Saccharomyces cerevisiae S288C: one gene and its partners. The gene in region 2 interacts genetically with the main gene of each other region. Each region holds a gene or a part of one and is shown on either strand. Other genes may lie near its edges.

Evidence for each region.
Region 1: mutations in YKE2 (region 2) and RVS161 together harm fitness more than expected from each alone (negative genetic interaction), as found in Saccharomyces cerevisiae (7 studies listed by BioGRID, with this or other methods).
Region 3: mutations in YKE2 (region 2) and ASE1 together harm fitness more than expected from each alone (negative genetic interaction), as found in Saccharomyces cerevisiae (5 studies listed by BioGRID, with this or other methods).
Region 4: mutations in YKE2 (region 2) and CIN8 together harm fitness more than expected from each alone (negative genetic interaction), as found in Saccharomyces cerevisiae (5 studies listed by BioGRID, with this or other methods).

Annotation. Positions count from the first base shown.
Region 1 is NC_001135.5:126,264-133,088, forward strand, and holds RVS161 (amphiphysin-like protein RVS161), read right to left. Parts: upstream 5,280-6,825; coding exon 4,482-5,279; downstream 1-4,481. Other genes in the region: DFP3 (DUP240 family protein), read right to left, coding at 1-467; serine/threonine protein kinase SAT4, read left to right, coding at 2,207-4,018; ADY2 (Ady2p), read right to left, coding at 6,010-6,825. UniProt on the Saccharomyces cerevisiae protein: Component of a cytoskeletal structure that is required for the formation of endocytic vesicles at the plasma membrane level.
Region 2 is NC_001144.5:543,223-549,856, reverse strand, and holds YKE2 (tubulin-binding prefolding complex subunit YKE2), read right to left. Parts: upstream 846-6,634; coding exon 501-845; downstream 1-500. Other genes in the region: ubiquinone biosynthesis protein COQ9, read left to right, coding at 1-346; PBA1 (Pba1p), read left to right, coding at 1,088-1,093, 1,180-2,004; snoRNP complex protein NOP56, read right to left, coding at 2,246-3,760; rRNA-processing protein PWP1, read right to left, coding at 4,159-5,889; glycylpeptide N-tetradecanoyltransferase NMT1, read left to right, coding at 6,553-6,634. UniProt on the Saccharomyces cerevisiae protein: Binds specifically to cytosolic chaperonin (c-CPN) and transfers target proteins to it. Binds to nascent polypeptide chain and promotes folding in an environment in which there are many competing pathways for nonnative proteins.
Region 3 is NC_001147.6:430,857-439,708, forward strand, and holds ASE1 (Ase1p), read right to left. Parts: upstream 5,490-8,852; coding exon 2,832-5,489; downstream 1-2,831. Other genes in the region: NOB1 (rRNA-binding endoribonuclease), read right to left, coding at 1-770; co-chaperone SGT1, read left to right, coding at 1,330-2,517; LPL1 (putative hydrolase), read right to left, coding at 8,050-8,852. UniProt on the Saccharomyces cerevisiae protein: Required for anaphase spindle elongation.
Region 4 is NC_001137.3:34,383-43,796, forward strand, and holds CIN8 (kinesin motor protein CIN8), read right to left. Parts: upstream 5,156-9,414; coding exon 2,153-5,155; downstream 1-2,152. Other genes in the region: nitrogen permease regulating protein NPR2, read left to right, coding at 25-1,872; PRB1 (proteinase B), read right to left, coding at 5,664-7,571; SOM1 (Som1p), read right to left, coding at 8,018-8,242; HHY1 (Hhy1p), read left to right, coding at 8,270-8,578; phosphoacetylglucosamine mutase PCM1, read left to right, coding at 8,870-9,414. UniProt on the Saccharomyces cerevisiae protein: Elongates the mitotic spindle by interacting with spindle microtubules to generate an outward force pushing spindle poles apart.

The DNA of each region.
Region 1 (6,825 bases), on a different chromosome or scaffold from region 2:
TCACTACTATAAAAGTAATAGCGAGTACTCCATAAACCATTATCAAGTAAATATTGATTCATATTGTCTGTGATTGCTCTCCATTCTTTTCCCTTTACCGCTGGCCTGTGGGTGATAACTTCCAGCAAAAGCTTAATTCTGAAACCCTCATCCGAGATATACACATTAAACGGAATCAACGTAGACAAAAACAAAATAGAAGTGACGAAAATTGAAAAACCAAAAACGACATCACAAGCTTTAACATTATGAAAGATCACAACTATTAAAATTGAAACTGAAAGTGCCAAGAAGGAAAATATCATCGGTTTGTAATGAGCCATCTCGTACAGCAAGTAGGTCATATATGATTTAAAGGTGTCTTCAGGTAAAGTGATATTTTCTGCGGATGATAACACATTTTGTTCCCCTAATGTATCCAATTTGACATCGTCATTATTACTGTTGTTGTCTAAATGAGGCTGCATGCAGATACGGAGTTTTGTTTCTTGTCTTGATATGGTATAGACAACCGACTGGTGTATATAAACAGAACACAGACTTACATTTTCAGGTTCGAAGTTTTATTGAAGTTCATAAACTCTTTTTAAATTATTTTGTAAACTTGAGCTATTCAAGCAGTATTCTTATTTAACCTAAGCATAGCCCCGGATACAAGGCGTATAATACCCAACTAACTTAAAATGAGAGCCACTTACTGAACACCTTGGAAGGTCATTGTTTGGTTGAAAGGAATATTATTAACTAAGCCTTAGAACAAGGCGTCACCTAAATGATAATGGCTTTTCTTCTGGGCGCGGTCGGGGCTTCGACTCATTTGATACTAGGTTAATTACCCTTTTACGCATACCTAAATATTTGTAACTTTAGATCTGTCCACTAAAAGCGTTTCGATGACTTAGTTGTGCTACTAATAGTAAACTCTTTGTGCAGGCAAATTATATCATCGCTGGCTAGACTTTTTGTCAAAAGTTCTGTTTATACAGTGGGCAGCTAGAGTGCTTAATAACAAAGATATTGTCCTTTAGACTTACACAAGAGCAGAAGCAAAGATAAGCACTGTTTGTTCTGCTTCCATCGTTTTTGCTGAAAATTTTGCATGCATATCCAACCAATATTTAACACCTGGATTATCTCGGTTCAAAGACTACAATAAACGCCCCAATAATTGTGATGCTTTTTTCAATCCAGCCCGCACAAATGAATACCGCTGCTATTGGATGCCATCTTCAGATGTACGTCCAAACTGTGGTTGGTATAGTTTTTAGAACCTCGTGGTGAGGAGTGTTCCATTCTTTCAAAGGCAATGAGAAAAAAAAACAGTTGCGATATTAGTCAACTGTTTTGCATGGTTTCTTTGACGCAGTTGTAAAATCATACTCGAAGGGTAGTTGGAAAATTTTCAACATATATTAGTAATACTTTTTCTGTAAAAGTGACACAAGATAAAATGACTCCATGGCCAAGTTGGTTAAGGCGTGCGACTGTTAATCGCAAGATCGTGAGTTCAACCCTCACTGGGGTCGTTAATTTTTCTTTTCTTTTTTTTTTTTTATCTCCGACGGAGAAAAAATTTTTTCTCAACCCCCGGCATGGCGAATGGAAAAATCACCTGGCACGTCATTTCATCAAATCAACATCGGCCTCCCCGTGCTAATATGTTAACAGGCCGAGCTCTTGCCATCTCACGCATTTTCCGCTATACAAATAGTATATATAATATTACAGCTTTTAAAGAGGGAAGAGGAAACGGAGAAGAAAATATACTACTTTATAGAGATATTCGGCAATTTTTTTTAGCAAAAGTTTATTAAACCCTAATATAGACCTTTACTTGGAGTTTCGATTTTAAGAATTTTTTATCATTTTTTTTTTTTGACGATTTCCTGTCGGTTTCGTTATAACCTGTTGTGTTGTTGTTGTTGTTGTTATTGCTGGGTTGTTGTTATTCACTTTAACATTATCGAATAAAATTTGGACTTTCAAAGTCCTGTTCAATAAGTTGTACTAAGCCTTTAAGCGTTTTTAAGTTACAAATAAAAACTGGAAAGCTTAAGGTAGCTTTCTAATATTAGGCTCTCAACCTTTTTTTACTCTCCATTTACCGCTAGATATTAACTAGTAGTAAGTATTGTGACTACTATTCCCTGTAATCAAAAAAAAAGTAATCAGATTTTATTTTATTTCGACATTACCCCTCAAATATATGACTGGTATGAATGATAATAATGCCGCTATTCCTCAGCAAACTCCAAGGAAACATGCGCTATCTTCTAAAGTTATGCAACTTTTTAGAAGCGGTTCAAGATCATCTAGGCAGGGAAAGGCCTCATCGAATATCCAGCCACCTTCTAATATAAACACAAACGTTCCATCGGCGTCTAAATCAGCCAAATTTGGTTTACATACCCCAACCACTGCTACTCCTAGGGTAGTTTCTAATCCTTCTAATACTGCAGGTGTGAGTAAACCGGGCATGTATATGCCCGAATATTACCAGTCGGCATCACCATCGCACTCTAGTTCATCCGCATCATTAAACAACCATATTGATATTAACACCTCTAAGTCATCATCAGCTGCTTCTTTAACTTCGTCAGTATCAGCTTTATCCTTATCACCCACATCAGCCATAAATATTAGCTCCAAAAGTTTGAGCCCAAAGTTCTCTCATCATAGTAACAGCAATACTGCTATTACACCCGCGCCTACTCCCACTGCTTCAAATATTAATAATGTAAATAAGATAACCAATACAAGTGCACCTATTTGTGGGAGGTTTCTTGTGCATAAAGATGGTACCCATGAACATCACTTAAAAAATGCTAAGAGACAAGAAAAGCTAAGCACAATGATTAAAAACATGGTTGGTGCGAGCAAATTACGTGGTGAGGCAAAATCTGCTGTCCCTGATATAATAATGGATCCAAAGACGACTTTAAAATCCAACAAGAATCCTCCTACTCTTTTTGCAGGCTTCATGAAGCAGGTCGTGGATATGGATGATAAATATCCAGAAGGCGCTCCCACAAGTGGCGCTTTAAATTGTCCTGAAAGGGATATATACAGGTCAGATCAAAAAGATTCCAAAAATAATACGCATAATATCACTACTACTAAAAAAGATAGGCAATGTTTTGCCGAAAAGTATGGTCGCTGTCAAGAAGTCCTTGGTAAAGGTGCTTTTGGTGTAGTAAGAATATGTCAAAAGAAAAATGTTTCTTCTCAAGATGGTAATAAAAGTGAAAAGCTTTATGCAGTGAAAGAGTTCAAGCGTAGAACATCCGAATCAGCAGAAAAGTATTCTAAGAGGTTGACTTCTGAATTTTGCATTTCTTCTTCATTACACCATACAAATATTGTTACTACACTAGATCTTTTCCAAGATGCCAAAGGCGAGTACTGTGAAGTAATGGAATATTGTGCAGGTGGCGATCTATTCACTTTGGTCGTTGCCGCCGGAAAATTAGAATATATGGAAGCAGATTGTTTCTTCAAGCAGCTTATTAGAGGTGTTGTTTATATGCATGAAATGGGTGTTTGTCATAGAGATTTGAAGCCTGAGAACTTACTGCTTACGCACGATGGTGTGCTAAAAATTACAGACTTTGGTAACAGCGAATGTTTCAAGATGGCATGGGAAAAAAATATTCACCTTAGTGGAGGCGTTTGCGGTTCATCGCCGTACATCGCCCCAGAGGAATATATCAAAGAAGAGTTTGATCCAAGACCCGTAGATATATGGGCATGTGGTGTCATTTATATGGCAATGAGAACTGGTAGACAATTGTGGAGTTCTGCTGAAAAAGACGATCCATTTTATATGAATTATTTAAAAGGACGTAAGGAAAAGGGAGGCTATGAGCCAATCGAAAGTTTAAAAAGAGCCAGGTGTAGGAATGTTATATATTCGATGTTAGATCCCGTTCCGTACAGAAGAATTAACGGGAAACAAATTTTGAACAGTGAATGGGGAAGGGAGATAAAATGCTGCCATAATGGGCGCGCATTGAAATAAACGAGTACTTCACTTTCAAATATCACGATATTTTGGAACAATTCGGTATTTTTTACTTAATCTAGTACACTAAGGAATGCTTTGTTATCCGGCATTCGTATCTTATTCCTCGCTTCTATTGTTCTACTTTTATATCCCGTTTGGCTGATTACGGATCACGTTCAAATTGGTAAATCCCATTAATTAAAAAAGAATTGTAACCTTATTTAAAAAAAAAAATAGTACATAACAATAAAAAAAAAAAAGATAATAATTTTGAATTTATTGCTAGACATTCTTACGTTTATTGTGTTCATGTTAACAAAAACACATGCCCGCGGTTATTATCGCTTTTTAATTGCTTTCTTAAAAAGAGTCGGTTGGTCAGATAGAGCAGATAGTAAATTATAGTGCTATTTAGGTCTGTTAATTTAAATGAAAGAAACATAAATGACCGTAAAAAACTAAAGGCAAAAGCATTAATTTATTTTATCCCGAGCGCACAAATATCTAGGCTTGTCATTTGTCCTAATAGTTCTTCGATTTTAGTGTCTAATAACCCATTGGCATAGTCGTCTCTTGATTGTTGGTCCAAATATTGTTGAATCTGCGCTAAACGAGTGTAACCATCAGTACAGAACCTTAGCTGAATCTTGATTAAAGCTTCAAAACTTGGGTCAAAGTAAGGTACTCTTAATGAAACTAACTGTGGTAGTTCAGTTTTCAATTGGTTATTAAGATTTTCGAAAATATCTTTAGCTAAGCTCAATTCTTTTTCAGCCCTTGGCAGTTTAGAGGCATCTTTAGCAGGTTTGTCCACTAATCTACGAACTTTTGCCTTCGCAGCATCGAAGTCTTGTTTCTTATGGTCTCTCTTTTTTATGGCCTCCTCAATTTCTTTGAAATACGTCGAAAACTTTGTTATTGGATCTAGTACGGTTTCTCTTAAGGGCCCGTCTAATTGCTTAACAGTTTCGCTATCAAAATCTTGAACACATTGCAAATAATAGTTACCAACGTTGTAACCACCACCAGCAACATATTTTGAATCGTCATAGAGGTTAGAGATGACCTCGGCAATGGTAGTCTGTGATGCTGTCACAGCTCTCAATGAGTCCAAGAAACCTTTGGCTTCCTTTTGTAATGCCTCACCTGCTCTTTGAAGAACTTTATAACGACGTTCTTCCATGTCATACTCTTTATCAATGGTCTTGTCGACATTCTTAATTATCACACTGTGACCAGCTCTGTTGATAGCTTTCTTAAAACCTTCCCAACTCATCTTGTATCAGCTTTCTTCTGGCTTCTTATAATAGGATTTGTATAGTTTTCTATATCACAGCGTTTCCTTTTCTTCTCTCACGTCTGCCTGTTATTAAATTTGTTTTCCCTTTCTTTTAATTCGGATTCTCATAATTGTTCAAAATCCGCGCATTTGGATCGTCCAGCCCCTGCAGCGCCCAGTTCAGCCAACAAAAATTCATAGGGACGTAAAGGAAACGTTTCATGTCTGTTACAATGAAAAAGACAAGTCGAATCACATTATGAATGGCAAACGATAGACCTTTCGTTGCCTTTCAATTACATGATATTCGTGGCAACATCTTCTCCGCTAACCTAAAAGTTTTATCAGAAACATATATCTTATTTTTTCTGAAGTAAAATCAAAGTGCAGGGAAGACAAGTAAAGGAGTCAGCAAAAAAGTGAAGTAAACTTATATGTTAACTGTTTATAACCGTACCTTGCTTACATCATCTATATTTTCGTAATCATTTTTGTACATTGTTTATATCTTGTTTTGAAGTTTTAGCTTTGAAAAACATTTAATTGCGAAGTAACATAATGTTATTAATAGTGTACGACTGAAACAGCCATTCTATTTAAACATATAAAAGTACGATTAGTTGGTGTGGTTATATAAGTCATAAAATAATTATCATATTAAAAAATTGAAAAATAAAAAACTACTCTTTTTTATTTCAATAGTTCTCGTTATTAGTAGGTCGTGCTCTTAAAAGATTACCCTTTCAGTAGATGGTAATGGGAATGGACGAGCCAGTACATATGAATTCTGCTTTGTAGCAACACCTGCATATGCGTTGTACCAAGCAATGAAAGCAACAACAACTCCCAGGACACCACCAGCTCTTGTGACACCAAGTCTATTAGCAAAGTGACCAATAGACAACAGTAGGAAAGTTAATGCTAGTAAGAAGAACAACAAAAAGAACATAACAGTGGATTTCATGGTACAAACGGTTAAACCAAACGTAAAGATGGCCCACCCCAACAAATAAAATCCTAAAGCATTATTCAAATCAGATTCATTGTCTTCGTAAGCTTCCAAGATACCAAACCAAGGAATGTAAATTGCAGCGAAACTCAACCAAAACCCACCGTAAGAACATAATGCGGTACCACCAAAAGTATTTTCCAAAGCTATCTCCCAAATACCAGCAATCAATTGCACCAAACCACCATAAAACATAGCACAACCGACGACAACATTAGGAACAGTGATCCCTTGCGCTCTCGCATTGAACATGGACAGCACAAATGTCGTCAACGCGAAGGCTGAAAGACCTAAGGGCGCAGGATTAGCAAATTTGTGCACTGGAGCAGGAGCTAACCCTGGATTCAAGGTACCACCAAAGGCTTGGTATAAGTCGCTCTTCAAAAACTTTTGACGCCCAATATAGATATATTCATTGTTATCACCTCCAGTGTAAATCTTGCCCAACGAATCATGAGATGGACGTTCATCTTCTGCAACGCCATTAACGTCGTTATCATGGGAACTATAGTATCCTGCTGGTGCATTCTCCAA
Region 2 (6,634 bases):
GGAACTAATGTCACAATTGGCTATTCCAAGCGCCTTTCTCTTTGAAACTGCAATTCCTGAACTACACAGATTGTCCGATGATATGATTTACTTTTCCAACGAAAAGGACCACCATGATTCTGCATGGTATGCTAAGAGATTGGCTGTTTCGAGCACCTACATTGGTTCAAAGTTATTTATGGCTCAGGATAAATCCCACAATTACAAAGAAACGTTTACTTTTGCAAAGGATAAATTACATAGGGTCATGCGTTTGGGTGAGTACTATAACAATACTGAAGAGTTTGCCTGGTATACGTTAATGTCTACGGTAAATTTAATCAAATCTCAATTAGTTAGGGGTTAAGCAATCTTACATGTCAATTTGAAGTTTAGGACAGTGAAATGCGTAGGTATTTTGTTTGTAAGTTACATAATTGTATATAAAAGAAAATTTTATTTTGGGCAGATTTATTGGTACTGTGCGCTTTCTTGTCTTTCCGAGGACCTGTGAGTTTGTTTTACCTTCCTGGGCCAGTGGAAGCTGCTGTATTGTTCAGTTTAATTAGCTCGCTTCTCATCTTTTCTAGTTCTTCCTGCTTGTCCCTTATGTTCTTTTCGCATCTTGTAATTTCTGTTTCGATGAACTCTAATCTTTTGTCCACGTTGGTACGTGCCTCACTTTGTTCAACTGGTAAAAGGACATTGCCTGTCAATTTGTACACAGGTGTATCTTCTTCTAATTGGTCAAACTCTTCATTTACAATCTTGTTTTCTTGTAATTGTGTCTCTAATTTTTGTCTGGCCACAATAAACTCTTCTAACTCATTTTGCAACTGTTGATATTTGGCACCTAATTCAGACATTTTTGCTTTTGTTCCTCCACTCAAATGTAGTCTTTTTCAATTCTGAAGTGGGATTATTTATAGATGACGTTTGACTTGATGAAGTTTTATTGCCTTTACTTTTTTTTTTCTTTCGCATCAAAATTTCAGACTTCATTGAAATCAATTTAAGAAGTTGCGTGGCAATAGGTGGCAACAGGCGAAATAATAAGAAACAGCGACCAAGATATCATCGCACTACAGTAAAATTTTCATTTATAGCGATGCTTGTATGTTACAATAATCTTTTTTCCCCATCATATTTTGCTAGAGTAGAGTGGTTTGACTAACTTATGTTACTTGATTCTTTTTGAAGTTTAAACAATGGAATGACTTACCAGAACCAAAACATCTGCTAGATCTCCCAGAGATTTCAAAAAACCTGCAATCTTTAGAAGTCTGCCCGGTTCCAAAAGTTGAGTTTCCTCAGGACTTGGATGTTCCTCAATATTCGACAGCCGTCATTACTACTAAGATAATGAACCCATTATTCCCCAAAAATCTGCTTCAATTAACCTCTATTGGTGAAATTAAAACTACATTGACGGTGAAAAGTCCAAGTCTTCCCCAATCTTCAGGTAAACACTCGTGGAATTACGACGAAAACTTTCCAAACGAGGTTGATCCTGATCAAAAAAATGACACCGCCGATGAAACAGTATATGGTTTTTCTTTCCCGATTTATTCATTTGGAAAGACGTTATTATTTTCTATGGAGGAGAATTTCATTAGTATATCGCCGATTTTTGGTAACATGATAAGTAGATCTATCATATCACAGTTAGCCCAGTTCTCCCCTGATATAATAGTAATTGGCACCTCTGATAAAATCGCCAGCATGAAGGTAATGACGGAAAATGAATGTACACTACAACCACCAGAATTTATAACGGGATTCATAGGAAGTGTGCTAACACAATTGATTGTCGGTCCCAGTAAGGGACTGAAATTTAAATGTCTTGTAGCGCCTAGTGAGGGGCCTAATGGATTTGAGAAACTTTCGTTGTCTGACATGGGTTCTTTAGTTGATTTGTGCGGTCAATGGCTTGGTTTTGAGCCTTCAAGATATTCTGAAGAATGCTATCGCTTATGGAGGTGTGATAGCGCGGCAATTGGTGCACAATCAGGCCTATATATATGAATGGCGATCACAGAATGTCAGTAATGGCGAGTGAAAGAGGCATAAGAGGGTACTTAAGCTCAAAATAACATATGACTTTTTTATTTAATAATATTTCTAAATATACAATATACAGCTTCCAAATCCTAAAGAAGAATATTAGAAGGGAATAAAAGATAATATATATATATATGAAAAACTTTAAAGGGAAGAAAAGTACACAAAAAGATGGGATATACTTTATTTCGATTCATTGTTCCTTTTAATCCTTACTTTTCTTCTTTTTATCCTTCTTTTCCTTTTTATCTTTCTTTTCCTTTTTGTCCTTCTTTTCCTTCTTTTCTTTCTTTTCCTTCTTCGATTTTTTCTCTTTCTTTTCCTTCTTTTCTTCATCATCATCTTCTAATTTTCTCTTCTTTGAGGATTCCTTTTCCTTGGTTTCTTCCACTTCTGCAGCTGGTTTATCTTTGTTATAAAGTTCCATGGCTTCTTGAATGGCTAATTCATTCTTCAAAGTTGGCTTACCAGTGTTGTAGAATTCTAATCTTTGCTCAACTTGTTTCTTTAGTACGGAACCAAAAACATTAGATGGTTCCTCAGAGTAATTGTCAATTCTAGAGGCCATAGAACATTTGTTAGCCAAGTATCTAGAAATACGACCCTTGTTCTTGGCAGAGGCCTTAGAAATAAAACCACTGTGGTAAATCAAACCGTATTTTGGAGTGTTACCTTTAGTTTTTAAAGCTCTGAACAAAGCCTTTTCAGCACCAAGAATTTGAACCGTTGAAGCTGCTTGCTTAGATAAATTAGTTAGGGAACCTGCGTGAGAAATTAATCTAGCACCAATCACTTCACCAATCAATTCTGATAAGTTTGGTGCAACAGTGTGCATTTTTTCGCATAAGTAATCGTATAATTGTCTTCTGTAATCAGCTAAGGAAGCGACTCTCTGAGCGAAAACACAAACATTTTCCATATCGGTTTCTGATATATCTTGTCCCATGGAGATACGGGCATTGTCAATGACTCTTTGTGCAATTCCCGAATCCTCATTCAAAAGAGCAGCCAAATCATGTAAGGAGTCATCGTTTAATGAAGCTTTGTCCTTGATAAAAAGAACCAACTTGGCAAAAGTGTAGTTGTCTGGTACCAATTTAGCCAGTTCGGGGAAATGCCAGCCATACCACTCTTTAACTCTCATAGCAAAAGTGTTGATATCTTTATCTAATTGATCTAATAAAGCAATAGCTTGAATGATGTGATTGTCGTTCTTTTGAACAGAGAACTTCACTTTAGCTCTGGAGTAAGCGTGACCTAAACCTAATTGGGCTCTTTCTAAGTCACCAGATTGTAGACCTTTGAATAATTTTTCGCCATGTAATCTGACACCACGAATCAAATCCTGAGCAAGTTCATTTGAAATACAATCAACATATGGAAATTCTTCCTTAATAGAAGGACCTAAGTTTTTATCGGAAATAGCCAAAGTAATGTTCTTCTTTTTCGAGGAAGCCTTTGGTAAGTTTAAATCCAAGATAGCTTTCAAACTCTCAGAGACTAAACCTTCTGATATGTCGTTAGCATTTTCAAGGGCTTCAGCAGCACCTTTGAATGGCGCGAAAGATACAAGTTCGATTAACTTTGTAAAAGCACCAAAATCATTGATTTGCTCTTGAACTTCTTTTAATCTTGAACCAATGTCATCTTGTTGCAACTTAACCTTGAAAACTGCGTAACCAGTAGGTTCTTCAAACAGTAGGTATTCAATAGGAGCCATCTTTCACTAAATACTGTTCTGCACGCTTCTTCTCCTAGAAATATACCTTCCAAAACACTTTTAATAACTACTTAAAAAACTGTAGACACTACGCAATTGCACAAAATTTTTCATTTCCCATCTCATCACTCAAAAAAATTTCACTTTGAAAAAAAAAAAAAAAGAAAATTTTCACATCGCATTCTACGAGCGTATATATGCCGGGTGATATAAAAAAGTTACACAACTGTAATTCACCACATTGTCATCATATGCTAAATTATACCGTAACAGCACATATTAATGTATTATATTGTTTTTTTCTGAGGCTCCTCTTACACTAGTATACAGTATTATCTTCTATAGATTTTTTATTTGTACTTGCAATGTACTCTGCTTTAATATTTTTCATATCCAGATTATGCCATGTCATCATGCTCATCTCCACCTTCTCTTTCTTCTTCATCTTCACCTTGATCATCAATGGTTATAACAGTATCTGGGTTATCGTTACTGGTGTATTTTCTGGCGATTCTTGAACTTTTTCCTATTTTTTGGGCTTCTTCTTTTGCTCTTGCTTGAACATTCTCTAGTTCACTTTTAAAGCTCTTACGTACAGATCTATTGGTAAAAACGTCCCATAGTTTCAAAACTTTATTGACACCACCAATGACCATGGTACCCGCTACCTCGATGTCTGGAGCGAATGACGATGTCAATACATTTCCGACATCGAAATCACGAGACAGAACCATGCTTGGGCCCTTAGTGTTCGTAGCATCATCCAAGGGGAATTTCCATAATTTGACAGTCTTTTCACCCATGGCCCCTGTACTCATCATACCAGGGATGAATTTGTTTGAACATAATGTGGAGATACCAGCATCGTGTGCCTTCAATGTCCAAACTGGTTTACGGTTTTCATTGTTTCTAATATCGAAAGAATACACATTACCAGAATCAGTACCACATAATATTATATTTTCACTGGCAAATGTAACAGTTTCTATTTCCTCACCTGCCATGGCAGACCAGTATTTACTCATTTGACTTTCGTCAGAAATTCTAACATCTGTTAAAGCTACTCGAGAATCATAACCACCGGTCAAAAGAATGGAACCATTCAACATGTGCCATTCAGATGATGAAACATTTTTGTTTGAATGAATGGAAGCTAAGGAGCGGGCTGCGTTACCTGAGTTCAAATCCCATAGTTTTACGGTATGATCTGCAGAGGTGGATGCTAAAACGGAACGGAAATATTTGTTGTGTGCCATGGATAAAACAGCATCGGTATGATGAGTAGTAATGTGTCCAGTCTTAGACTTCTTCTTCTTCTTTTTGCTTTTCAAAGACACCATTGAATTATCAAGAGGTTCACCCAGAATCATATCGGGAAAGGCCTTGTCAACACAGTCCAAGTTCCAAATTTCAATTTGTGGATCAAACGTACCAATGGCAGCATAATTGGCTGCTTCTTCGGAATTGGATCCAACCTTGTAGTCAAGCCACTCAACACATAGTGGAAAAGCAGGCAACATTAAATCATGGTGAACGTAAAGTGCAGGGTCACGAACCAATCCACGAGCAACATCTGGGTCAGCTTCATCACCTTCTTCAACGGGAATATCGCTACTGTGGAACCCAGCACCGTCATCGTAAACGTAGATATCCAAATACGAAACGTCATCTTCTGTTCTCGCAGCAAGAACTAAATTATCGGATGGGTAAACTTGTAACTCCTGCTTCTCCTCTTGACTATCCTCTTGATTAGGCAATGAAATATATGGATCTTCACCTTTTTCACCCTCATGGAATTTAACATCGCTATCATTACTTAAACCCGGGAACATGGAAACGTCTTTACCACCCTCATTATCTGCAATTTCCTCATCGTCATATTCTTCCAGGTTATATTCTTTCAAATCATCATCTATATCCAACTGATCCTTCAACTTATTAGAACTACCTGTTGCGGCGTCATCTTCAACACCTGATTCGCCTTCTGCTTCTTCCAAAGTAGCTTTAGCATCATCCAAATTCAACTGTGCTAATTGGTTAATTCTTTCCACTTCCTCATCATCCAGAACATACTTTTCAGGAAATTCCGAGGAAAACCCTCTTGGAACCCAATTAGTAGCAGAAATCATTAGTTATTTTGTTTTTTTTATTCGTCTTCTAAGTTTCCAAATAAGGAAGGCGTAATAGACTCAACTGAGGGTACACTTGCTATCGTTTACAAATTAAAACTCTTTGCTTCTTTCAAACTCATCTCAGCTCATCGAGACAAATTTTTCACTTCTTTTTTTCGAGGGCGAGAAAATTTATTACCCGACTGGATATAATATATATAGAATAATACATATGATCAACTCAAGGTAGGGCCTATGGAAAAGTTTTACAACGGACAAGGCAATTAAATTGAATTGCACGATTCTCTAATTTTTTATTCTTGCAGATTTGTTTCATGATAAATTCGCCAGTTAGAGTTCTTATTATGGGTGGGTAAGAATTCAGTTAACGTTTAAAATTCTCAATATTAATCGCAAAGTGGAAAGCAAAGCAAAGTCTCACTAGAAATTGCAGGCGGACTATGTATAATTACGTAATAGTAGTTCTTGCAACAGAGGATCCTTTCGACTCTTTTGAAAGGATACTGTCATAAAACAATAGGATAAAATAATTTCAGCCGTTGCTCATGATAAAAGTAATTCACTATAATTGAAGATGATATGTGTTGCACGCTTTTTAGAGAATGATCTGTACAATAGCTCTGGTTGTCATAGAGCTTCGGTAGTAAACGTATTTATAGAATGTCAGAAGAGGATAAAGCGAAAAAATTAGAGAATTTATTGAAGTTATTACAGTTGAATAATGACGATACTTCAAAATTCA
Region 3 (8,852 bases), on a different chromosome or scaffold from region 2:
GCGACATGGCGATCCTCTTCGGACGCTTCTACACCCAATGAACCAGTGGTATCTTCACCACTATCCTTAATAATTGCTTCTGTTAAGTTCTCGGGGGTAATCCAATCACCATCATCATCAGCATCCTCGAATACTTCATTTAAATCGGAAGATTCCTTTATATTTTCATCATTACATATCTGCTCTTTGGATCCAGCCTCCTCAACATGTTCCTCAGCTTTACTCTCTAGCTCAAGGTTTGCATTTTCAGCTTCTCTTGCTTCTCTTGCTTCTCTTTTTGCCTTTTGCTTTTTTCCACCTCTTCTCTTGTTCTTTTTTTTTGGAACACTTTCAGAGTCCTCCTCCTTTTTATTATCTTCTGTGAGCTTCTGTTTGCCGTCCGTACCAACGTCAGCCTTGGACGCATCTAATGCATCACCTGGTTTTTTCCTCAGTCTCCAATCGCCATTATTTAGTTTAATTTCTAACTCGTATGTCAAAGCAAGAATATGCAAATCATTGGCACTCAGTACGGAGTAGTCACCGGTCAATTTGGCGAACGTACTTACTTTGGCTATCGAGTTTTCACTTGGATGTACTAATTTCAAAGTTCCGAGGCTCTGCCAAATTTCAAGGTTTTTCCTTGCTTGAGCATCCTTAATTTCTTGAAAAACTGTGGGAGTAGTATAAAAAGACTGTGCATAATTCTGGTAATGTGTGTAGGACTGCGTAATTAATGGGGTGGCATCCAATATCAACGCCCTTACATGTGCGGTTTGGTTTTCGGTCATATTATGCTCCTTTAAAGAAACTTTAGAAAAATACTGAACTATGATCGCCGATGAGATTTATCTAGCGCTGACTGAACGACCTCTATGTTAAGAACATACTTGAGATAATGGTGCTGTTTCTCCATGTAGACTTCTTCTTAGCAGGTAAAAATTTGCCAATGCAAAACAAAGCTCATCGAAAAATTTTGATCTTGCATTATGGAATGTCCGGGTTTTTCTATTGAGACATTCAAATTTTGAATTCTTCTTCAATAGAACCAGGCTCAGCACAGATACAAGAGAAATGATAGTAGATAATACCGCCATAGTGCTTATGCATCATCTGCTAATTCTTTTAAGAATGATCTTCTCAGTCTTACACTGACGAGCACTATATTGATGACTTTGATCACTATAAACGAAGCCAATATAAGCACTTTAGGGTGTAAGGTCTCAAGATGAGTTGATCATATGCGATATATCTTTGAACGCTAATAATTGAACGAAAGCACTATGACAAAGTAATGGCAGAAGTCTTTTAAGGTTAAAGAGGTAGTTGTTTTAAGGAAACGAAAAAGAAATGCCTGTTGAAAAAGATTTAAAAACTGCCTACAAAGCTTTGTATGATGAGAAGGAACCACTGAAGGCCCTCCATCTTTATGATGAAATTCTCAAAGGCTCACCCACAAATTTAACGGCTCTCATTTTTAAGGCAGCATGTCTTGAAAAGCTATACTTTGGGTTTTCTGATTGGCACAGCGATGCAACTATGGAAAACGCAAAGGAACTTCTTGACAAGGCTCTAATGACAGCTGAGGGTAGGGGCGATAGATCGAAGATTGGTCTTGTTAACTTTCGTTATTTTGTTCATTTCTTCAATATCAAAGATTATGAACTGGCCCAATCTTATTTTAAAAAAGCCAAGAATCTTGGTTACGTTGATGACACTTTGCCTTTATGGGAAGATCGTCTGGAGACAAAATTGAATAAAAAAAATAAAAAGCAGAAGGATTCAACTAATAAGCATACAATTAAACCAGTGGAAAGTATTGAAAACAGAGGAGATAATAATTCTTCTCATAGTCCCATTTCACCTCTCAAAATTGAAACCGCTCCTCAAGAATCCCCTAAATTTAAAATCGATTGGTATCAATCCAGCACCTCTGTCACTATATCATTATTTACTGTTAATCTTCCTGAGTCTAAGGAACAAGTCAATATATATATTTCTCCAAACGATAGAAGAACTTTATCGATATCGTACCAAGTACCGAAATCTGGATCTGAATTTCAATACAACGCTAAGCTTTCGCATGAGGTGGATCCAAAAGCAGTGTCATTAAAAATTTTCCCAAAAAAGCTGGAAATTACCTTGAGCAAAATTGATAGCACGCAATGGAAGAAGTTGGAAGAAGATATTTTAACGGAATCCTCAAGGTTATCAGATGAGGGTAAAAATTCTGATTCTGCAACCCGCTTATTATCAGCAGAAACGGCATCAAAAGAGAGATTGTCTTATCCATCGTCCTCTAAAAAAAAAATAGATTGGTCTAAACTTGACATTGATGAAGAAGCTGATGAAGAAGCGGGATCGGCTGATAGTTTCTTTCAAAAGCTTTACGCTGGAGCGGATCCAGATACCAAAAGGGCTATGATGAAATCCTTTATAGAAAGTAATGGTACTGCATTGAGTACAGACTGGGAAGACGTATCTAAGGGAACGGTTAAAACTTCACCACCAGAAGGCATGGAACCTAAACATTGGTAAATGATTAGTATATACCTACACAATTACAATATGTAGATATATAGTATGGTAGTAATGTTACATTTTCGATTTAGACTAGCCAACCTGCGTATTTACTTGGAATGCTTACATGATTATATTGAATATTACAAATTTTATTATGTCCATATTAATCCAGAGTCACGGTGCAATGGAAAAAGGAAAGGGAGAATGATAGAATAAAAGAAGGAAAGAAAGAGACAATGTAGCGAAGGCTAGAAAGTGATGTGAAAAAAAAAACCACAAAAAAAATAAATAAGAGATCAGAGGGTTAAATGAATGCGCTTTTAAGAAATTCAAATATCTGTAAAGGAGAATCCATTCAATTTCGAAACTTGCTCATTTTTCCATGTAATAAAATCCTTATCATTTTCATCTTCCATCATACTGGTATCATCAAATCCGCTTTCAATATCTTTTTGTTGAATGTTTAATTGAAATTTACCTTCTGGCGACATGGAAAGTTTATATATGCTGTGCTCAGGTTCTTTATAAGGACTGCTCAATTTTTGTGCGTAATCTTCTAATGAGCTTTTGCGTTCCGGGCTTCGTACATTCTCCTTACCCGTGGTGCCAGTCGACCTTTTAAGAAGTTCTAAAGCCTTTTCTTTAGTTAATTGAGGGATATGACTACCCTTAGTGTCGACTTTGTTCAGCGGGATAGGAAACAATTGGCGTGGTTTTACTGCATGTTCGCCATGCGTATGATTTATCCTAGGCGATGATGAAAGATCGGATGATCTGTTTCTGTTTAAGGTAGGTCTCTCTATATTCCCTTTGGAATTCCTAGATATTACTGTGGGTGCTAGTAATCTTGTTGCTCTTCTGTTCGGACTAGATAACTTCGTTGTTCCTTGCATATGACGAGCAAGCGAGTTCTCTTGGGATAGATCATTCTTTGTTAAGCCTTGTATTGTTTTCTTTGAAGGCGTTTTATAAGTAATGTTGGCATCATTTAAATTCAAACCAATCGGTACCCTGATGGAACTTTCTGTGGCCTTGAAAGTGTTTTTTATGACTTTATTCTCTTTGTTCGCACCACATTTTCCCTTTTTAGATCTCTGCATTCTAACTCTACATCTTGGATATTTTGCTTCGATTTCCTGTTGCTGAATGTCAATTGCTTCTGAAAGTGGCTTACCTTTGAACAAAAAAGGTTGATCAAATAGACCATCGGCCTCTTCTAATTTAATTCTTAAATCATTGATGACTCGAGGAAAGTGTCTTGTTATCCTTTTCCTCATTTTTTCTTCAGTTAGTAATATCTTATGAGAATTTCTAGACAAAAGCCGTGAAGAGTCTTTTGAACTTCTTTCCAAAAATTCTTGATCTTCTTGTAAAGATTCAAAATCTGATATTAATTTTAAAATTGGCTTATAAAGGGTCAGTTTTTCTTCTAGTCTTTTTAGCTCATTTTCGCAAGTTTCTAGAAGAAGCTCATCTTCCTGTAAAGTTGTTGCACTGTTCCTTAGTTCTTCAAATACAATGATGAATTTAGACCGACTTTCTTCTGAATACTGTAACGTACGCCACAATTCCTGAATTTTGTCCCAGGAATCTGATATAAGTTTTTTTATTAGTTTTTTTTTCATTGCTTCAAGTCGCATAACTTCTTTAGAGATTCTACCTAAGGACTCGGTTGATAAACTTGAATTGTTACGCATAAAAGTCTTTATGTATTCTTGAGAAATTTTTAGCCTTGTCCAAAGTTTTTGGCATTGTTCCATCAGGAGCCTCTTTTTGTCTGCTCTTTCCTTATGGATAGCTTGCAGTTTTTCCAATGTAATATCAATTTTAGACATTCTTTCTCTGTCTACCGGGTGGAAATTTGGTATTTCTGATGTGGAGTTTTCCTCTTCTCCATATGATCTTAGATCTTGTTCAAAATCTTCACCGATTAACGTTGCTAGGGGAGTTCCAAGTTGTTCACATATTGATGAAATACTAACCTTTTTTGTGAGTACGCTTTTAAACCTCCTCTCGTATTCTTCCTCGTAAATTTTTATGACTTCATTCATGTGTTTCACAGATTCTTCGTTAATAGTTTTAAATGCCGATCCCTTTAAAATATCTTTTCTATTATCTATAATAAATTTCATGGACAAACCAATATCGCCTTTACCATTTTCTATTTGTAACAAATATGCGGTTAATGTGCTTAATTCTGGAAACTCGGCGATAGCCTCGTTATCTGCTTCTGTCAATCCAGGAAGGTTTTCTTTTACAGATTGTATGAGGTGTTTTAGAGTGATTAAGGATTTTAAATAGTCGCGGAGCCTGGGTAAAAAACTTCCTAGGACAAATTTTTTTGCTGTATCTAATGCTGCTTTTTTGCTTAGTAAGGAAAGTGGCTTTTTCGGTGACTGTGGCACAGTTTTACTTTCTTGCAGTAGAATAGCATTTCTAATGTATAAGTCAGGAATAGTCTTTATGCCACTTGGGTCATTTATTCTCTCTAGAATGTTATTTAGAATATCCTGTTCAATTCCGTTCTCTGCGGACAGTCTTTTCAATTCTTCGTCAGCTTGCTCAAAAAATTGTTTTATGGAATTAGATATAGTGGTGAATATGATTTTCTCCTTGGTGATAATTTCCGTATTAGAATACCCAATATTTTGATATATGACATTGAGATTCTCCAGTAATTTCTCTAGATCCTTTGAAATAAGAATGAAATTTTCTCTATACATATTATCCATTGTGTTACCTTTACCATTTTCTGAGTCTAAAAAATGGTAATTAGTGGACACGTTTTTCAAAGGAGAACCAAAATCTCTAATACGAACTGGGGTCAACTTCATAAACTCTTTAGAATTTGATTGATTTACCATGGTCGACACAGTCAACGGTGTTGCTAAAGAAGGGTTCATATGCGGTATAACTGTAGTAGACCCAGAATTTTCGCTGTTTCTCCTCGATTTAATGGGCAAAGGGGAAGAAGTTGCTGTCTCCATTTCAACATCAAAAGTAGTGAATCCAAAATGAAACCTTTGAATTCTAATGCCAGAATGCTATATCTGATGATTAAAAATAGCCTATTAAAATGCTCTAATTAGTCCTTAAAATAATTATTCTCGGTAATAGCCGTTTGTTCGTATCTTTGCTATTGTTCTGTGAAAAAACCAGGTATTCGACTTTAATAATATTTTTGTATTTGTTTCCTCTTAAAGATTCTCAAGCTTATTTACCTTTTACCTCATTGGGAAATATTAGATGACGAAAGAAAATCACACTGTACGATTTTCTGGGCGGTTATTTAGTGAAATTAAATAATAACGTAGATATGGCAGACAGACTTATTGTTTATAGGCAGTTCTTTACAATTGTAACTATAAAAAGTGGCTATACTAGGAAAGAAAGTTTTTAAAGATGATTTGTTTTTTCTATCTTAAATCTCATATATTTATTTTTATTCACTTCTGAGAAATACAAGTTGCATGTCTCAAAACTTTTACTTTTCAACAAAATATTAATCAAAAAAAATAAATGAAAAAAGAAGACCATATTGAAGAACATTTAAAATCCTTTGTTTGAAATAGAGATCAAATATCTTGTATTAGCTGGTTTTAAATCAGTAGTATATTGCTATGTATGGTTTGATAAGATGATACAGATTGTTAGACGAAATTATTATCATAATGTTATCTATATTATGGAATGCCAACAATCATCAGCAAATACGTAAATATGACAATGGAAATGAACAAAGAAAAGAAGAAGAGAAAAATATAATACTATGTAGAATTGTCGAGCTCCAAAGGATATTCTATCTTGTTATCCGTAACATAATCAGCAGGGCGATCTGTGCACTTGTTATGAACATATGACATTTTTATTTATTCCCTTCGTGTTATTGTACTCGTGTTTTTTATAAATTTTCCTTCCTCGTAGATGGCTTGAATACCAAGTAATATTTCTTCTACCACAGTATTACTGGCGTAAGCAACTGAATTCTCCGAAAAGTTTTTTAGATAAACTGCCAAGTTAGTCTGTCATTACCTTTATATCGTCTTCCTTTAATCTGTAGGTCAGAGTGTTCACTGCTTCAAATAAATCTGCAGATATTCTTCCATTATATTCAAGGTTCAATATTCTTCATGCTTTATAGAGAACAGTTTGAAAATTGCTGCAATTGATTTCTAAAGTTTTCTTGAACCAAATTGGCAACAAATGAAACGGAACAAACGTTTGAAATGTTTTGTACAAATATGAATGCTCTTCGTACGATAGTGGTCGCAGAATTCACCCTGTTCATTAGAATGAATGTTGCCTGTGGGTTGGAATTTTTCAAAACTTGATGTAGAATTTAGTCCAAGTAGAAGTATTCTTCCCCCACAGAATGTGTGGCGGTGAAAAATTGCGAGACGTGATTGGTGTATCAAAAAACATACGAGATTGTTGGGTTAGTATACTGTTTCAACTACGTGAAGGGCTTCTCAATGGTGATATATACTATAAAATTGTTGGTTGAGTATCTGATTGAAAATACATCGACGACATTATAGTCGGGCGTCCTAAAAATGACCAACTAGATGGCTTGGCTTGATTCGGAGTGATTATATCGCTATAAGTACGGTCCATTCTGTGACGACAGTAATTGAGCAGATACGATGATGATGATTCTCTGGAGCAGCTGATAAAACAGGTGTATTATCCGTTGAAAGTTGGCGTTGCTGGAAACCTTATCATATGAGGTTTGCAAATTGGAAACGTGTGACGAATTTGATTTGTGTACGCTTCCCTAGAAGTAACCAAATCATAGGCTCTACCATGAGGTAATGAATGATTATTATTGGGCTTCTACCGTTGCTAAAGGCTATAATATTAGATACACAAAATATATGAAAGTTCCCCTCGAGAATTGAAATCCACCAAAAGAGTATCCATATCTCTTTCTAATAATATTGATATTCTTCTTCTGTTCTTTATGATAATAGTCATTATATTATTACATTATATATCCTTGCAATCCAGCTCCCATTAAATCTGATGACTGTTTCTCATCTTTAGGGTTATCTTTTTACGCCGCATATGATACTATATTAATAATATGAATGCTAGTCGATAAATAATACTTGATTCCTATTCCAACATACTCTATCCAAAATTATTTCCTTTATAAAAATTATACCTCAACATTTATCAAATAGTTTAGCAATGTATCCTTTTCGGTAGTTAATTACTTTAAATAACCTAAGTTAAATACCCACTATCTATAGAAATCTTTATTTAGGACGCTCCGAAGAACTCATCCTTGTTAGCTCAGTTGGTAGAGCGTTCGGCTTTTAAGCGCATTTGCTTAAGCAAGGATACCGAAATGTCAGGGGTTCGAGCCCCCTATGAGGAGTTCTTTATTTTTGTCAGTAACTATTCGGGTACCATCCTCTTCTTTTCTTTTTCCCCCACTATAAAACGAGTCTATCAATTCCCTTCAAGCATTAGTGGTAGTAATACATTTTAATCACATGAGAGTGTTCATTCAAAAATATATACTATTTCGTGTAAATCAAGTGCTCAATTACTCTTGTGCATCAAGTATGCTAGTAATTGGGCCGTAAATTCGATACAAGCAATCCCAGTAGCAGCTGTATTCTCGTCCATTCCTCTACGTGCCACAATCACGCCATGCGCATTTACAGCCTTTATGTATATTGGAACTCTAATCCATTTCAATTTGTTTAGATTTCTCAAAATAACCTTTCGGTTTTCATCAAAAGGCAGTTTTTTAAATTTAGATTTCCAAACACCATCATTTATAGTTGTGTATTTTTGGATAAATTCCTTCCAAGGAAGCTCTTCTTCGTTTACAAGATTACTATTACTTGCTTCATAGTTCGCATCCATATCTAAAGCCGAATTTATGATGGACCCGTATGCATCTGTAACATAGCCTTTCAGTTGCTCCGTCAATCCTAATTTTCCTCTGACCTCATTGTGAAGAATGCCATTAGAGAGCATTTTGCGGTACTTGCAAGTAACAATATAACTATAAGCGGTTCCCAGGCCATTCATAACCAGGGCTATTGGGAGAATTAAGAATGTTGCAACTAGTATAATAAGAATAGTGCGTCCCCACTTTTTATAAGTCTTGGTCGGTTTAGTAGGAGCATGGCTGTTAACGTTTAAAGCGTTTAGGTCGACAATCTTAGGCAATATTCCTTTATAGCCAGATCCCGGAATCTTTTCTTCGAATGTATATTTCAATTTGTTGTCAAAATCTATAAATGGGTCGCAATCCGTAATAAACGCCGTATAGAAGGCTACCGTACGGTCATTTTTGACATTCGCAAACGCTATCCTCCATTTAAATAGCGAGA
Region 4 (9,414 bases), on a different chromosome or scaffold from region 2:
GTCAGATCATCAGGCCAACGGCAAATGCTAAGCTATTTCCAAGGGTTTGTGCCCATACACACAATATTTTACTCCGTGTTCCATCCTACAGAAGGTTCTAAGATTAAATACGAGTTTCCGCCAAATAATTTGAAAAATCATGGTATTAATTTCAACACATTTAAAAACTACATCATACCGAAGCCTATATTATGCCACAAGTTGATCACTTTTAAGTATGGTACATATAGGATTGTATGTTATCCTGTGACAATCAATTCTCCAATATATGCTAGGAATTTTTTTAGTTTTAATTTTGTATTTGTATTCCCATATGATTGTGAGACGTCTCCCTACGAACCAGCTATTACTAGGCTGGGCAAAATGTTCAAAGTTCTTGAAGAACAAAATCAATTGCTATCCAAATCGGAAAGAGATCCAGTTTTCTTCGATTTGAAGGTGTTGGAAAACTCCACAACAACACCCTCCACTGCAGGTCCTTCATCCACGCCAAATCCTAGTAGTAACACCACACCAACTCATCCTACATCCGAAAAGGATACAAAGGATATGAGAAGCAGCAGATACAGTGACCTTATCAAGGATTTGGGCCTTCCGCAATCCGCATTTTCCATACAAGATTTATTGATGAGAATTTTCCAAGACCTGAATAACTATTCCGAATGCCTCATACCAATTGATGAGGGAAATGCAGTAGACATAAAGATTTTTCCGCTGTTGAGACCACCGACAACTTGTGTCTCATTAGAAGATGTGCCCCTGTCGTCTGTAAATTTGAAGAAGATTATTGATGTCAACTGGGATCCAACCATGATGAGTATAGTCCCTTACATTGATGGCTTAAACAGCATTGCCAAAATTTCTAAACTAAGCAACAGTGATCCTGGCCTAGTGATAGAGTGCATACGTCACTTAATATACTATAAGTGTGTTACATTATCAGATATTTTCCAATTTTCTAACATATACGCTCCTTCTTCATTAATTAGGAATTTTTTGACTGATCCACTAATGGCTAGTGACTGTCAATCTTATGTTACGTTCCCAGAAGTGTCTAAAATATCGAACTTGCCCTTAAACAAAAGTCTGGGTTCAGGTGACCAAGACTCACCATCATTTTCTGTACGAAGAAAATCCAAATCATCTAGCATACCGTCAAACCCGGATTCTAGAACTACATCTTTTAGTTCTACCAGTAGAGTTTCTCAAAACTCCTCCTTAAATTCCTCTTTTTCATCAATTTATAAAGACTGGAGGCAATCACAAACCTCCTGCTCGAGTTCAAATATTCATGTCATCAACAATCGTAACCGATTCCTACCAACAAGATCATGCCTATTTGACCTTTATAGGTCACTTTCACAAGGTCAAACGCTGAAAACATGGTATGAGTCGAAATATATGATTTTAAAAGAAAATAACATTGATATAAGAAGGTTCATAACGTTTGGCCTGGAAAAACGTATCATTTACAGGTGCTACTCTTTTCCTGTAATGATAAATGCAGGTTCACGTGAACCAAAAGAAATGACACCAATAATAACAAAAGATTTAGTGAATAATGATAAGTTACTTGAAAAAAGAAATCACAATCATTTGCTTTCAGCCACAGGGTCTAGAAATACGGCACAATCCGGCAACTTGAAACCAGAAAGACCATCAAAGGTTTCATTTGAAATGCAAAGGGTAAGTTCGTTGGCAACAGGCAAAAGTACTATGCCGAAACTCAGCGACGAAGAAGAAGGTATTCTTGAAGAGTCTATTAGGAATGCCGAAACATTTGATAAAATTTGCGTTTTACTGAGCAAGCCTAAATTAGAAGTCGAAAGCTACCTAAACGAATTAGGAGAATTTAAGGTAATTAATAGCTGAGTTAAAATTAGAGAAATTCATTGTCCATCAAAATGTTTTTTTTTTTTTTTAATATTACAACTTATTTCCGTAAATAAAGATAGTACACACGAATCCAAACGTTTATATAGTTAGCTCTGTGAAAATTTGATTTAGGTTCATCTCTTGGTGTGTTTGGTAGAGGTGGTTTCACACCCTTCTCTTCTGTCTTGCCTTCTAATGAATAACTGAGTATTCTTTACATACTTTGTTTTTATTAACCACTAGTTTGAATATATATTCGACTGAAAGGCAATATCAACTATTCAATCTTTAACATTTTTCTCGAGCCCTCATTGTCCACATTTTCACTGGATTTGTTTTCATCTTCAATTGCATGCTTTTTGGGCGATATTACACTTTGCACTGAATTGCTATTTATGTTTGATAACCTTAACGGCATTTTCTTACTTAGATTTGGTATTTCCTTCAATATGTTCTCGATCATTTCGTCTTTGGTAGCGTTTTCCTTGTTACCATAGTTTTTCATTATGTTTTCAATCGTATTATAGATATCATCCACATTAGTTATATGAGAGTGTGTTGATGTTATCGAATTTTTAATGTTATCTTTCAACATGTTATGCTTGTTAATAAGCTGCTCAAATTGATCATTAAATTTGGTATTGTTCTTCAAAAGGGATATAGCGTTCTCCGATTCTTCCACTTGTCCTTTCATGACTGAAATAGACTCATTCATCGAATTTGATGATGTATCAACAGTACTCTTGATTTGCGATAGCGTCGCTGCCATGCTATTATAGAATTCGTTATTCATGGAGTCACAATCATTTATCAGATCAAATGAATTTTCCCATTTAACGCGCTTGGGTTCAAACAGATCCATTTCTTGATCAATAACCGCGCTGGTTGCAGTTGTCAGATTCTGCATTATTAGTTTTTTATTTTCGTCAAGGTGGTCATTTAGGACCTTTTTAAAGTTCTCAACAAACTCGTTTGTTCTCTTCTCAATATTTTCATAAGTAGAATCCACATGACGATTCAGTAATTCTTGATGGTTATTCTTGAAAAAATGGTTTTTTAAGTACTGTTTCATGTTGTTATTTTCTTCGCTAATATCAGAAAGATTCTCGGCTATATTTTTATAAAATTTTTGGAAATCTACTCTTATTATGTCGATTTTCTCAATAACAACATTGAAGAATTTAGGAGATTCGTTTAAAATTTTCTTCACACAGTCTTTGTACATTAGTTCAGCTTTTTCTTGCATGGTTCTCATAAGAGTCAGTACTTCATTTTTGATCATATCAAGATTTGGTTGGATATTAGTCTCTTGAAGAATACTTTCCTGTTGCATAGTGTTTAATTGTAAAAACAGTGTAGATTTCAATTTTTTAATTTCTTTAGTAATATGCATTTCAAACTTTTGATTAAGGTCAAGTTCTCTTTTTTTGTAATCATGTAGGGCCATTTGCATTACCTCAGTCAACTTCTGTAGTTTGTTATTAAAATCGGATATTTCAATTTCAGTTTTATGCTGTTTATCTAGTTGTGCCCTTAAATGATCTATGGTAGTTTTCAATGATTCTATTTGGCAATTTTGAGATTGAATAGTTTCTTTTGACTTCAATTTATCTTTTACTAGCAATGCATTTTTCGATGTCAAACTTTCAATTTCTCTTTTACATTCTTGAACTTCATTTTTATAACTTTCTAAATCACTGTTCAAATTTTTGTAGTGATCTTGGCTCATATATATTCCTTCTTTGGACTTTGTAGAGAGTAAATCGGATTTAATCTTTGCTAATTCCATAGTTATATTTTTAACCAAAATATCCTTCATTATAAATGAACCCAGTTGCGGCTTGTTCTTAATGTTTTTAGCCTTCGAAGCATACTCTAATGTACTGCAGGTTTCTTCAGAAGTTACCTTTGCAGGCGATATAGTAGCAATTAGTGCGGTTTTCGTATTACCACCCAGGGAATCTTGAAGCAGGCGGGTCAATTTCGATTCACGGAAAGGTATATGGCCGCTTTTATCTACGAGTGCGTTTATGACCCTGCCCAGCGTCAATAGACTTTGGTTGATTGAACCAGCTTCTTTGGCACGTTGATTTAATGCTCCGGATCTGTTGATGTTTTCTGAACCAGCTAAATCCACAAGATTCATTTTGGAAATTCTAAATAGTTCATCCTGATGCTTCTTATACAAAGTGATTGTAAAAATGGTATGAGATCTACTGGAAAAATCGTTCATTTTAGTGGACGCTACTTGCCTATGCTTTAAGCCTTTTTGTAATAGGTTTAGCCCCTCCATAGCATTTGTTATGTGAAATTCTTGCAAATTCTGGATGTATATACCATTAGTTTGGTCATTTGGAGCCATCGAACTTCTTTGACCGTTATTTGTGTTGGTGTTACTAGAAGCATTATTAGTGGTAGAGCCAGAGTTAGAGGAAGAGTTGTTCCTGGAATTCACTGCCTGTTGTTGTTGATACTGTTGCTTGATGGTATTCGGCAGTGATTTTGTCCTTAACCTTTTTCTTAATAGAGCAGCTTTAGGTGTTAGATCATTTAATGACCTCGGAGAACTGTTCCTAGAATTACTCCTGGAACTACTAGCACTGTTGCTAGTGGTATTATTTGCTGTGCTTGAATCAAAAATCCTCAATTTTTTCATAAATTGGCCGTCAAAGCCAGTATTACTAGAGCCGTTGCTATTGCTGTCCAAGAGGTCCTTCAATTCTTCGTTGTAGAGTTCAATGAACGAACATTTTACTACGTAATCGTTCTGTTGTAGTTCCAATGTGTCAAACAACTTCAAAAGAACCCTCGGTATAATTCCTGCTGCATCGCTCAATTCACCATTATATAACTTTTCGTCGCCCGTCATTGTATATGTTTTACCTGTTGACGTCATACCATATACCAGTACGGTGCAATTGTAACCTTTAATGAAATCCTGGAATAATGGGCCCGCCACTTCATCAAAAATTAGATCCTGGGAAGCGCCGGGACCGAAGACTTTGTCCACTGTGTATCTCTTGGCATTCATTTGAGCAGTTATACCGGTATCTCCCGTCGTGTTAATGGAAATTTCTTTAGAACCTGTAATATCTGGAACATTTACCACAACGGAGCTTTTCATACTAATTTCCCTTTCATTCCTTCCTCTGCATCGCACAGCTACAGTGATGTTCAGTTCCTCATTAGGAACAGTGTGACATCCAACCTGAGAGTTGCCATTTTTACTGATGCTGTTGGAGCTTCTATCTTGACCCGTATTTTGGTTTTCCGCTGGCATCAAACAAATTCTTTCTTGTTGTATTTTTTGCGCTTTTATATACTTTTTATTACTTTTTCCTTTGAATTGCTTGCTTCTGTATCTATACTCAACGTTACTTTCTGGCCATACCATAAGTTCTACACCCGCTGTTGAGAAGCGGGTCACAAAGGAAGTCTTTAGATGATGTTATTGTTGCGGCCTTGTTTGTTTGTTTTGTTTATTTCGCGTACCTAATACATCGTCACCACACACGAAAACGAAAACATTTGATCAGATAAGTGATCTGCAAATAAGATATAATAAAAGTAACAGTTATTTATTTAATTAAAAACGCAAATATGTAGTAATACGTGGGACATATAAATTTCATGAATTAAAAAAAAAAAATGAAATTCAGATTGAAAATAATGGGGATATAAAAAAAGTGGACAAACGATAGTGAAGAGGGACTCCGACTTGTAACCTCGAGACGCCTAAGGAAAGAAAAAGAAAAAAAAAAGCAGCTGAAATTTTTCTAAATGAAGAATTAAATAATATTCAATTTATCAAGAATATCTCTCACTTGATCAAAGATTAAATCGGTCTTTGATCCAATGAATTCATCCATGTTCAATTCTTGCTTGAAACCAGATGAATGGGACTTTTTGGTATCATTCCAGAAAGCGGACAAATCTTGACCACCACCGTTGTAGATTAAAACATTTGGAGTGTCTTCAGGGATATCGAACAAAATGTCCTTTGTACTGTAATGAATTAGCTTCTTTTTCAATTGCTGAGGAGTCAAAGAATCCTGGCCCAATTCGAAAAATTCACTATCAGAACCTGGTTGCAAAGACAAAAAGTAGGTCAACAAACCAGCAACGTGAGGGGAAGCCATTGAGGTACCCGATAAAGTGGCGGTGGCGTCATCACTTCCAATGTAGGTGGACAAAATGTTTAAACCTGGGGCGAAAACGTCGACACACTTACCCCAGTTGGAAAAGTAGGCTCTGTCATCGCTCAACGTGGAAGCTCCGACGGTGATGGCCTTGTCAGCAGAAGCTGGGGAGGTATTACAAGCGTCTTGGTTTTCGTTACCAGCAGCCACGGCAAAGTGAATACCGACTTCAACGGCTGCATTAACAGCCAAGTCCAAAGCTGGGGACTTGCCACCACCAAGCGACATATTGGCTGTGGAACCTTTGAACCCCTTTTTCTTTTCTTGGGCTTCTTTTTGGTGCGCCTTTGCGGCATATTCGACACCTTTGACGACATCAGACATGGTACCAGACCCGTTTGATCTCAAGACTTTCACCGCAACAACGTTGGCATTTTTAGCGACACCGTAGTGTTTGGAAGCGATAGTACCGGCACAGTGGGTACCGTGGCCGTTACCGTCGAGATCTTCGTCGTTAAGTGGGATGGTTTTCCCCCAAATGGCTCTCTTTTCGAAGTCCTTGTGGTTGATGTTGACACCCGTGTCAATAACATAGGACGTGACACCGCGACCGGCATCATCATCGTAGAGATACTTGTTGAAGGACCCCAGGTTGAGGCGCTCTCTGTGGGAAATACGGGCCAACCCCCATGGGGCGCTATTTTGAGTGTCAAATTCTGTAGCCTCGACAATAGAGTCTCTCTCAACAAAGTCTACTAATGGGTTTTGACGTATCAAGTCGACAATCTCTTGGGTGAAGTAACCGATGTAACCGGAGAAAAGATTATCGATGTTGAATGAGTCCTGGATACCGCCAGCCTCAGAGGTGGACAAGGAGGTGTCTTTAGTAGAAATGAAGAAAGCGTCTTCGGCAGATAAGTTCTCTACGGATTGAAGTTGTGCCTGCTGGACGTTTTCCTTGTGGAAATCGATCTCTTCTTGAGGGGCACCTCTCTTGAAGACTATAATGTAGCGGTTGGGGATGATCTTGGAGATCGCGTCTGGGTTGAATTGTGCAGTGGACACGAGAGGAGCCAGCCTGTTGTGGTGCCTCCCTTTCTCCAACGTCTTTTCGTGGTGCTTCTTGCCCTTGACTTTCTTACCTTTCATCTTCTTCTCCTCCACCTTATTTTCGTGGCAGCCACCCTTATGGTGAGGCTTCTTCTTCTTATCATCATTATCATCATCATTGGAACTTTCATGCTTAGGCTTCATGCCCTTTCCTCCCTCGTGGGCGCTCCCATGAGAGCCACTTGCACGTTTACCGTTGAATTCCGGAGACTCCTTGTCTTGGCCCTTGCGGCCCTTCTTATGGAACTTTCCATGTTCTTTATCTTCAGAGTCAGATGGCTCCTCATCATCGTCCTTAGTGAATTCCACTTTTCTGGGTCTCTCGTGGTGATCTTCCTTGTTAATCAGTTCGTGGTGGTCGGCGGCATTTTCAAGATTTGGGATGACCAAAGCAGCAGAGATGCTCCCTAGGGCACCGAGTGTAAATAGAGTATTTTCTAACTTCATCTTTGCTTGTTAGAATTAGGTTTAGTTTGTTTTTTTATTGGCGATGAAGCTAATTGGACTCTTAAGTTTGTATGGGAAGAACTCCAATATAACGGGACGTAACATTGGCCCCCTTTTATATTCATCGCGCTCTTTATCGCGGGTGTGTTTGCCCCCGCCACTCCCGCAGTCCTGGCGTGATAAGCCACTGCAGTGGCATTACTGAGCCCAAATTTTGCTTTTTCAACAAGTCACCTAAATTTCCAAAGCCGAAAGCCCTGCTACTCTGCTAACCCGGAGCGTTTAAAGTCCACGGACATTTCCCAGCCCTCGTTTTTTCTCCTCCCGGGACCCCGGGCATAAGTGCATAGTAGGCACAGACCTGATCTGTCGGGTGCAGTTTAAAAAAGTCTTGGCAAAATTTTTTATTTATCACACTACTGTGCTATATAGAGTATATGTAATTTTTAACTATTGGTATATGTGTCCGTGACCTCGTAGTTAGTGGCTGATTTGTCGGGTGCAATGCAGTGTTCAAAAAGCCTCTTAAAAGGCGAGCAGACGTATTCGGCTCCTTTGAATTGGCACTCCCATTGCACAAGCTCTTTCAGCCGGCAGTTGGTTTGTGAGTCAAGCGTTGCTAACGGTGCGAGCGCTTGGTCCCTAGTGCGGATGGTGGTTGGAGGCGCCATGAGGGTTGATTGTCTTATCTGCGATAGATGAGTCTTTCTTTCCTTCTCTTTTCCCCTTTTCTCCCCCCCTGTTTCTCGTCCATCTCTATCTGTCTATCTGTCTTATCTACTGTTAGTTTTTTTTTCGCTTTCACGATACCGCATTACGTACTGCGCTGCGGAAGTGTGGATGAGTGGCATATACACTCTTCTGCAGAGGATTTTCGTACACAACGGTGTGTGTGTGCTGTGAAGCTGTCTGCTTCCTTACTTGGCTGTTTGCTTGCTTGTGCGTCATGGTCACTTTTGTTAGAAGTGAGCCGCATAAAATGGCATGTCGGCACAGCCTACAGTTAAAAATTAAGCATATCTGACTGTTTATCTGTTTATCTGTTTATACACGGTGAACTGTCACGAGAACCCTTACTTGCACGATTAGCAGATTGTTCAGAGAGCCTCGCTCGTTGAAGTTCTTCTATATGCCAGCGTGTTTCATGTAGCAGGAAACGTTGCTCTATTTATATCTTTTCTGACATTTTGCGTCGTCGGGAAAAAAAAGATTAAGTAAGAACAAAAAACCGTTAATGGTTTCAGCAATCGAGACAAGTACAAGGACCAAGGCAAAGGTCAGCAGTAAGCTTAGAGACGATGAAGGTTGATTACGAGCAATTGTGCAAACTCTACGATGACACGTGCCGCACAAAGAATGTGCAGTTCAGTTACGGTACGGCCGGATTCAGAACGCTGGCCAAGAATTTGGATACGGTGATGTTCAGTACTGGTATACTGGCGGTTCTCAGGTCGCTGAAGCTTCAGGGTCAGTATGTGGGGGTGATGATCACGGCGTCGCACAACCCATACCAGGACAACGGGGTCAAGATCGTGGAACCAGACGGATCGATGCTTTTGGCCACATGGGAGCCATATGCCATGCAGTTGGCCAATGCGGCCTCTTTTGCCACTAATTTTGAAGAATTTCGTGTTGAGTTGGCCAAGCTGATTGAACACGAAAAGATTGATTTGAATACAACCGTCGTGCCTCACATCGTGGTTGGGAGAGACTCTAGGGAAAGTAGTCCATACTTGCTGCGCTGCTTGACTTCCTCCATGGCCAGCGTCTTCCACGCGCAAGTTTTGGACCTAGGCTGTGTCACTACGCCTCAATTGCATTACATTACTGATTTGTCCAACAG